Linked DNA regions of Nothobranchius furzeri. The protein of the gene in region 1 binds, or shares a complex with, the protein of each later gene. Links are inferred from orthologs where the notes say so. Each region holds a gene or a part of one and is shown in the gene's direction. Other genes may lie near its edges.

What was found.
Region 2: the proteins of ercc6l (region 1) and bend3 are in contact, whole or in part, in a crystal structure (PDB 5JNO), measured with the Homo sapiens proteins. The link is inferred for Nothobranchius furzeri from reciprocal best matches to the Homo sapiens genes ERCC6L and BEND3. Residues at the interface, in NP_060139.2 of Homo sapiens: Ala10, Glu11, Ala12, Leu13, Ser14, Pro15, Glu16, Ala18, Ala19, Tyr21, Leu22, Arg23, Lys26, Phe51, Pro52, Asn53, Glu54, Lys55; in NP_001073919.1 of Homo sapiens: Glu252, Gln255, Ile256, Gln259, Leu261, Asp265, Arg269, Val272, Gln273, Pro276, Phe279, Ser280, Phe335, Arg338, Phe339, Gln342, Glu346.

What each region holds. Positions count from the first base shown.
Region 1 is NC_091750.1:36,677,052-36,681,402, reverse strand, and holds the start of ercc6l (DNA excision repair protein ERCC-6-like), read left to right. Parts: upstream 1-1,397; 5' UTR 1,398-1,504; coding exon 1,505-1,557; intron 1,558-2,454; coding exon 2,455-2,517; intron 2,518-4,351. UniProt on the Homo sapiens protein: DNA helicase that acts as a tension sensor that associates with catenated DNA which is stretched under tension until it is resolved during anaphase. Functions as ATP-dependent DNA translocase. Can promote Holliday junction branch migration (in vitro).
Region 2 is NC_091758.1:40,783,339-40,787,889, reverse strand, and holds the start of bend3 (BEN domain-containing protein 3), read left to right. Parts: upstream 1-1,706; 5' UTR 1,707-1,893; intron 1,894-1,921; exon of another isoform or gene 1,922-2,016; intron 2,017-3,726; 5' UTR 3,727-3,729; coding exon 3,730-4,026; intron 4,027-4,100; coding exon 4,101-4,551. UniProt on the Homo sapiens protein: Transcriptional repressor which associates with the NoRC (nucleolar remodeling complex) complex and plays a key role in repressing rDNA transcription.

The sequences.
Region 1 (4,351 bases):
AAAACATGTTTTTGGTTTAAATGATCTAGTTTACACTCATGACAACTCTGAGGGGGGTGAATGTTTTTCTCACTCTTCTGTTTAAGTGTATTAAAAGCCTAAAATTCTGTATAATTAATGAGCATCAGACCCACGTGACCACAGAGCTAGCTCCGTGGAAAGGCCTCAGTAGAGCCTCGGTCTGGTCTGGAAACTGCTCCGGGATTTTGAGTCTCTGTGTTTGTGTATTCTTGTTTGGATATTTAGGTACTCCTAATTGTTTTTAAGGGTCTTAATGGTCTTCAGCCCTCTTATCTCTCAGACCTACTTTTACCATATGAACCCTGCGCTCCTCTGGCATCCACCTCCTCCATCCATCCATTCTCAACCGCTTATCCAGAGTCGGGTCGCGGGAGCAGCAGCCTAAGCCGAGAGATGCCTAGACTTCCCTCTCTCTAGTTACTTAGCCCAGCTCTTCCGGGGGAACCACAAGGCGTTCCCTGGCCAGTTGAGAGACAAAGTCCCTCCAACGTGTCCTGGTCTTCCCTTGGGTCTCCTCCCAGTTGCACATGCCCAGAAAACCTCAGGAGGCGTTCAGGAGGCATCCTAATCAGATGCCCGATTGGTGTGTGTGTGTGTGTGTGTGTGGGGGGGGGGGGGGGGGTCCCTGCACTTTTACCATCCCAAAAATATATTACGCTATATTAAGTAGACACTGATTGAGCACTAGGACCAAGTGGAATACAACCGCTTGTTTTGAAGCCTGCTTCCTATCAGAACCATCCATAAGCTCATCTGTTGGCTCTGCTGATACTTGCCAACGTGTGACTGGCCGTACCTGCCACCTGTGTACTTGACAGTTATGCATTCTCGACACTTCATAAAAGTACCTCTAGGCTGTAGTTTTATACATATTTTTTGTATAATCATTGTAAATTTCACCCTTTAGTTAAGTCCCTTTCTTTTAATTTTTAAATCAAAAATTAGTTTGTGTGTACTTTCTGGCTTGATGATTTTTAATGTTCTTACTATTCTTGCTAATTAAGCACACTGAATTACTCTTGTGTATGAAATGTGCTGTACAAACAAAGCTGCCTTTCCTTTTACAGTTTTTGAGACATCGCCCTCTACAGGAGGAATGTTTAACTGCAACTGTAGATTCAAAACATGCCAAAATGTATTAGATGTTAAAAATTTAAATAACAGAATTCTATTAAAGCACCAAAATGATTTAATAGCTGGTGAACCATTAAGCTTATTACATCAAACTGTTAAACACCTTCTCGTTCTTGGCTGAATTTGAATTCAGTCGTACGTTGTCATCAGAATTTCCAAGTCGGAAATTACGTAACTAAGTTCTGCCCAGTCGTTTTTGTGATTGGACAGCGTAACCGGATATGGGATCACAGCGTGGTCTCTGATTGGCTATAAAAAATGGCGGAGAAATCCGAGAAGATATAAATGCAAACATCTGCGTAGAGTTTATTGCTGTATTATTACAACGGACTAGCAGAAAAGTAACAAAATGGACTCTCGTCACGATGAACAGGTTTCTCATGTTTCTGACAGACTCGAAAAGTAAGTGAGCTTACGGTGCATTTACAAGAGCGTTTACCAAACTAGCTAGCTAGCTGCTAAAGGCGTTTGAACTCACATGCGTTTCCGTAACATCAATTCTTAGTTATTTCTCCAATTTTACAAGCCAAGGTTTACAGCAATACTGAGCCCGTTGAGACGGGCAAAGGAGCAGGCTCAGCAGAGGATGTATTTCTTACGGCAACTAAGGAAGTACGGCCTACTACAAGAGCTGCTGATCATCTTTTACACTGCTGCAGTGGAATCCATACTTTGCTCATCCATCACTGTCTGGTTTGGGTCAGCCACAAAAATGGACAAATGCAGACTACAGCGTATTATTAAAACAGCAGGAAAAATCATTGGTGCCCAGCTGCCCTCTGTCCAGGAACTGTACATCAGCAGGACCAGGAAAAAGGCAGTGAATATTGTCCAAGATGCCACACATCCTGCATCTACTCTCTTCCATCTCCTCCCATCTGGCAGACGCGATAGATCGCTGTACACAAAAACTATCAGACACAAGAACAGTTTCTTTCATTCAGCCATTTCTCTCCTGAATCTGTAGATTCTTTTACCATCTTTTTATTATAGGTTTTAATGCTTATTCAGTATGCTTATGGATATGAGTGTGTGTGTGTGTGTGTATACATATGTATATATGTGTGTGTGTAAATGAACATGTGTGTGGGTATACGTGTTCTTATGTGTTTTTCATGTATTTTTATTCTCATTTATTGTAGTTGTTGTATGTGTTAGAGAGCGAACATCTACCGAAGCTAAATTCCTTGTAAATGTAATTTTACTTGGCCAATAAATCTGAAATCTGAACGTGTTTGGTCTTGCTCAGTAAAGTTGAGATCTATCTTCTGAATTTCTAACATAGATTTTTCTGTCCAGATCTCTGTCCATCCACGCAGAGGACAACCACGCAGAGGACAAGATGATGGAGAAGTATACCAGGTATCTCACACACAATCATCTGTTTTTGATTATGATGAAATTCCTTCATATCTGATGAGCTGAGTAACTGAAGGACTAGAAATAAAACCAGCAGTTTTCTCTCAAGTCTGTAATTATCTTGTGTGTGGGTGTTTTTAGCCCCCACGCTCAAACATACACTCATAAACTTATTCTTTATTTTAGGAAATAATAAATACACTGTGAGCACAACTAGTATTCATTTATTTTCTTATTGTTTACGAATCATTTTGCTCTTCCTGATAAAAGTTGTTACTGATTTAGATGACACATTTGTGATCAGCATGTAAACGAACTCTTTAAGTTGGATGAAATGTTCAAAAACATCAATAACAGTTTGATAGGAAGCTGAATTTTAGCTCTGAAAATGCGTCCTTGATTCAGTAACATGTTTTATTTTCATGTTTAGATAAAGAGCGTGGAATAAATGAAAACTATCACTAAGAGAAAATGTTAATTTACATAAATGTGCTACAAATTGGTGATTCTGTGACTCGTTTCCTGGTTCTATTAGCCAACTTGATGCAGATTTACTAATTTATGTTTTTACTGTAAATCATTTAGTCTGAACTGCTAAAGAACCTTTATTTTTATTTTTATTTAACCTTTATTTAACGAGGATAGAGACCCATTGAGGTTAAGAACCTCTTTTACAAGGGAGCCCTGGCCAAGAGGCAGCAAAAATTCCAGTTAACAAAATGACAATGATAAAACACTCAATCATTAAAAGCAGTTACAAGTTACTAATGCGGTCTCTGAAGCTGTCAGTTTGGTTTTGAAGGCATTTAGTGAAACCTGCTCGGTCATTTTCCAGGATTTCTGCAGCTGGTTCCAAGCAGAAGGAGCAGAGCAGGCGAAGGCTCTCTTTCCTAACTGTGTGCGAGCAAAAGGAACAGAAAGTAGCAACTGATCGTTAGACCTTAAAGGGGCATTATGGAAGTTTGACAGCCAAACATGTATAGAAATAATAAATGTCTTCTTCATACGTTCTCCTGCAATGCCCTGGTCCTGTAGAATGAGCTCTGGCATTTTTTACTGTGATTGCCTGTTTTTCTGTAAAATCACAGAAAAAGAGAGATGCTCGGGTCGAGCAGGCTGCTTCATGCGCGTTCACGCTCAGGCATCGCCCGTAGCGTTTGCTATCCGTAGCTTTAGCAGCAGAGAGAGAGGCAGTGCCACTTTGTCGCTGTTCCTAACGCCTAGTGACAAAGCTAGCTACATTTCTGAGGACCCTTAGCTACTTTCTGTAGAACTTTCTTCTAGATATTTCCTGCAAATTAGCAACAAAATAGCCATTTTCACTCCGAACCGTTCTTTGGTTTGACGTTGTTTCATCTGTCATCAAGGATATAAATGTTACAGATACAAAGGACATCACTGGTGCTTTAGCTCACCTAGTAAGATGTCTGACTCTCATGCAGAAGACCTGGGTTTGATTCTGGGTGTGAACATAGTTTATTTAGAGTTTCTTTTTTACATTAATGGTATATTTTTTTACAGTAAGATGCCCAAATTTTTATTTGAGACTCGCCAAACGGCATTGAATTCACAGATAAAAAAGATGTGGGTTCAACTTTCATTTTGGAACAATTTTTCAAGCAAGGGAAGGGAATGATCTGAGCATGCAGGAGGACTGACCCATCATAAACCTTTGTCGGCTGTGCTGAAGAGAAAGGTACAGAACCACATTATTTAATTAATTAGCTGCGTGTTCTCCTGTCCTCCGGGCCACACGCACGCACACACACACACACACACACACACACAAGGGACTGTCTCAGCTGTTATTTTCGTTAAGGAGTGTGCACGTACAGCA
Region 2 (4,551 bases), on another chromosome or scaffold:
TTTCTTCACTTTTTGTAGAAAATCGTCAGAATTCGTGTAAAAGATGGTTTTGCTGTTAGCCTGTGTTGGGTGGACTCTGGTCTGCATCATTAACATAACTTGAGACGAAACTGCGCTGAGGGGCGGAGTTTACGCGCCTCTTTTTTTTTTTTAGGAAACTCCTCCTTCTTTGCGCCTGGCCCAATGGTGATTTTTCACTTTCTGGTTCTAATTTCCATGTTTTTATTCTGTAAAATACTTTATTACAATCAGCCTATGTGACTGCTTTAAAACTGTAAGTAAACTGAAATGCTACGTGATTTTAGTAAAAAGAGTAAATGCAATTTATTACGTCGTCACTAGCCTGGCCTACCAGACTCATCCTCTGTTTAATTCTGCACAGAGAATGATTCATTCATTCATTGTGCAGGCTACGTCATCACACCCCACTGTATGTGGGATACAGCGGGATTCTTGTGATGTACCATTAGTGTGTTTAAAAAAGCATGATACATTTATTTAAATCGTATTTTTTATTCTTGTGACAAAATTCTATAATCATAAGTGTAAATTTAATTATAAGATATTTCCTCAAGTTGTTAAAAGATATGGCTTTATAAAATTAATATTACACCGTTCAAACAAAAAGGCTCTCAAAACAACTGGTATTTGGGGATTTTTGTTTGTAACTGCATAATTAATCCCTTTGGATGATTGTTCGTATGAAAGTATTTGTATAAATTCACAAAGTTTTTTTCCGGAACTGCGCTGCTCTGGGTGGCTGCATGTTGGAGTAGCTCTGTTGACTATATGTAAGTTTTGCCTTTTCTTGGGCATTTTTTCTTCTAGTTTCTCAAGAAAAACTATATTTTTTTTACACTTTACTTTTCTGTTTCTGGTGCTGTGAAGCTTGGAGGATTTTTACTGCTATTTTTTAGCTTTTTTCTCTTTTTAAGCATTTGTTATGATGCATAACCATGGCAACAAGCTGGTTTACAATCAGGAGCAGCTGATTAACATTAGAAAGGCTGAAATAATACCTCAACTGAAGCCACAAATCCCAAATGAGCTAAAACACAAGAAGCGTGGGTGCAGAGCGGGAGCAAAACGGAGACAGAGAAAGAGGAAATTCAAACCATCTCTTCCATCGATCATAATGGGCAATGTGAGATCACTGGCCAACAAGATGGAGGAACTCCAAGCCCTTTCAAGGACTCAGCCAGAGTTTCTGCAGTTTTGGGACCGCTGGAGGAGAAAATGCAAAGAAGGATTCTCCAGAGAATCAAGAAAATGATGGACAACCCTGAGCATTCTCTTCACAAGACTGTCCGACAACGGAAGAGTGTCTTCAGTCAGAGGCTTCTTCAGTTTGGCTGCAACACTGACCGCTACTGGAGATCCTTCCTGCCAATAGCCATTGTAATATACAACAACTCTTTGATGACTTGAGTATTATTATTATTCTGAGCTACTACAGCAATCAGTTTCCATCTGGGATTAATAAAGTATTTTTTAATTGAATTGAAATGAATTGAAATGTATTGAGCACTTGCACGTTTTTTATAAATTTCTAGCTGTTTTACTAACAGTGGTAGACACAATCAAAGATGTACATTAGCTGTGAACAGTTCGTCCGGGAGCTAAAAACAGTTCTTTTTTTGGTGAGCTGATCCGATGATTCGACTCACAGAAATGAGCTGAACTTCCCACCTCTCGAAGTGACGCAGCAAGCGCGCGCCCCGTCACTTCCCGCGAGATAGCCGAGAAGACGAGCGAGAAAAGCACAACAAGAAAAGCAAAACAAAACATTAACATTAACAACAACAGTTGCTTGTTAATAAACTACCGTGAGCAGTTTCCAGACATGTCCGGTGCTTCGCCAACGGCCTTAAAGGATGACACGGACTCGAAAAGGTGAGCTCCGACCGCCGGTCACGCGCGTTTACCGTTAATTTTACTAGTAGGAGGAAGAGATGGGAGGCACATCCACGCAAACATTACCGTGTCGTTAACGTTTATAAACCAAACGCAGCAGAGGTGAGGAATCACAGCTCGGACACTCGCGGTGGATTGAATCAGTGACCTCCTCGGGCTCTGGTGAATAGTTCAGCGGGTTCGGCGGTGATCCGGTTTAAACGTTAAGGGGCGGAAGAATGAGGAAGTGGCTGCTTGTAACGCTCCGCCGAAGTCCTCAGAAAAGAATCCAGATTTGTTTTATAAAGCTAAATAAACTGTTAAGTTGTTACTTTTTTTAAAAACGCTCATAAGAACACACTCAAGCATAACCTGGCGGGTGTTTCGGCTACAAACAGCTGATCGTGTGTTTCTCATAAAGATAACACTTATTTATTTGTAGTTCATTTCAGAGTGTAACAAAAAGTAAACACGGTGTACGTTGCTGCCATAAAATCAGGATATCATTCAAAGCACATTTAATAGTAGATGTTTAACCCCGACCGTGGTTTAGTGCGGATCGTAATTCCTGCGTCTATAAACGGGTTTGCATTTTAAAATGTCATCTCTGTAAAGCTGGTGACGAGTGGGGAAATATCACGAGTTTGGAGGCATGAGATCATTCTGCTTCCAGATCCGTGAAAGATACAAGAACAACTTGTACCACGTTTGCTGATTGAATTCAGTTTCCCCCCACAAGCAGCTCCGTTTATTAACAACACTGCACATAAATGGCAAATGGCCTGTATTTGATATAGCGCCTTCTAGAGTCCTAGAACCCCCCAAGGCGCTTTACAACACAATCAGTCATTCACCCATTCACACACACATTCACACACTGGTGGGGATGAGCTACGATGTAGCCACAGCTGCCCTGGGGTGCACTGACAGAGGCGAGGCTGCCGAGCACTGGCGCCACCGGTCCCTCCGACCACCACCAGCAGGCAACGTGGGTTAAGTGTCTTGCCCAAGGACACAATGACAGCGACAGACTGAGCGGGACTCGAACCAGCAACCTTCCGATTACGGGGCGAGCACTTAACTCCTGTGCCACCGTCGCCCCAGAGAGGACATAATTAGCTGTGAAACTACTGGAAAATGTGAAATGAATGAATGACTTGAGCCACATGGTGCAGAGCCGCTCGTTTTTGTGAAAACAACTGATTTCAATATTAATTATCCTTGGCTATTTTTATTATCACATTCTCACAAACTATTAAATCAAAGTCGCAAAATTATTCCTTATTCTTAAAGTGGTTGTTATAAAGTTTTCACACTAATACATGTTAGAAAAAGACCTTTAAGAGCAAGTCACCCCCTACCAGAGTCTTACTCCACTCCCACTTCCTGTTTGAAAAATGCAACAAATGCTGTTGCCTAGCGGGCCGAGAGGGCGGAGCCGCTAACAAACACACACAGGCTCACAACGACATTGTGACATCATATGGTACCAGCTAATGTTCTAGAGTACATCTTAGCCAGTAGCGATGGCAGATTTAAATTCAAATGCAGCGCAAAGTTTTTACCTGACAACGGCACAGCACTGACAGTTTTAGTGCAAAACTATTGACTACACGTGTCTGCGGCACGATTAGACACGCATTTATATAGCTGATCAGAAAAAAAAGTTGATTTGGGGGTGACTTGCTCTTTAACTGCCAAATATTCACAGCTCAACTTCTCGTTGTTTCTGGTTTTGATTATCTTCTTACAGCAAAACTATGTTCACTCGTTTTTAATCACGTTTTCTACGTTTGAAATAAATCAGTGACATGTATGAAATTCTCTTTCTAGGCTATGAATTCCTGCGAGCATGGAGAACATTCAAATGAAGCGATGCTTGAAAAGGGTAGGTCTCGCTCTCGTATCTCTGCATGTGGTGATGTGTTTGTTGCTGATTCTGGGTCATTTACAGAACACAAGTATGTCCAGGACGTTAAGGAGGAGCAAGAAGATTTTACTGTTTGTGAGTCATTCCAGGGACACGAAGGAGGATCTTCTGGGGTCACAGACGTCGGTAAAAGGTCGTCAGCAGAGATCGGCCCTGCGACACATCACTCAACCAGCAGCAAGAGAGCCAGAGTCACTAGCGCGGTACTGTATGTTTTCTACGTTACACTAATGTGCGTCTCATTGTTGCTTATTTAAGATTTGTTTGTTTTTGACAGATGAGGCAGCGTTTGATGGTGGAAAGCAGCAGACACGAGCCTCTTTGCCTCACAACGACAGGAGACAGGGGGCCCGGCTTCCTGGAGAAATCCGGATCCTCCTACAGAAAGCCTCTGTTCGGCATCTCGCACAGGATTTCAGAGAGGAGGAACACACCGAGTGTGGAGCAGCTCGCTAATCACGGCGGCTTCAGTCAACTCGACAGCATCCTTTCACCGAAGCTCCAAAGTCTGGAGCAAAACGGGCCCCTGGAGACCTTCTCTGCCACCACAGACTCCTCAGGCCGGACGTCAGCAGACCCGAGTCTTTATCCACTGATTGAGAAAATGTTTTTTATCCTCAACACACTGAACTCAAGCATGAGTCAGCTGCACAGCAAAGTGGACTTGCTAACCCTGGAAGTCATGCGCATAAAGAAGCACATGAAACCAGCTGAGAATGCGATGGAGT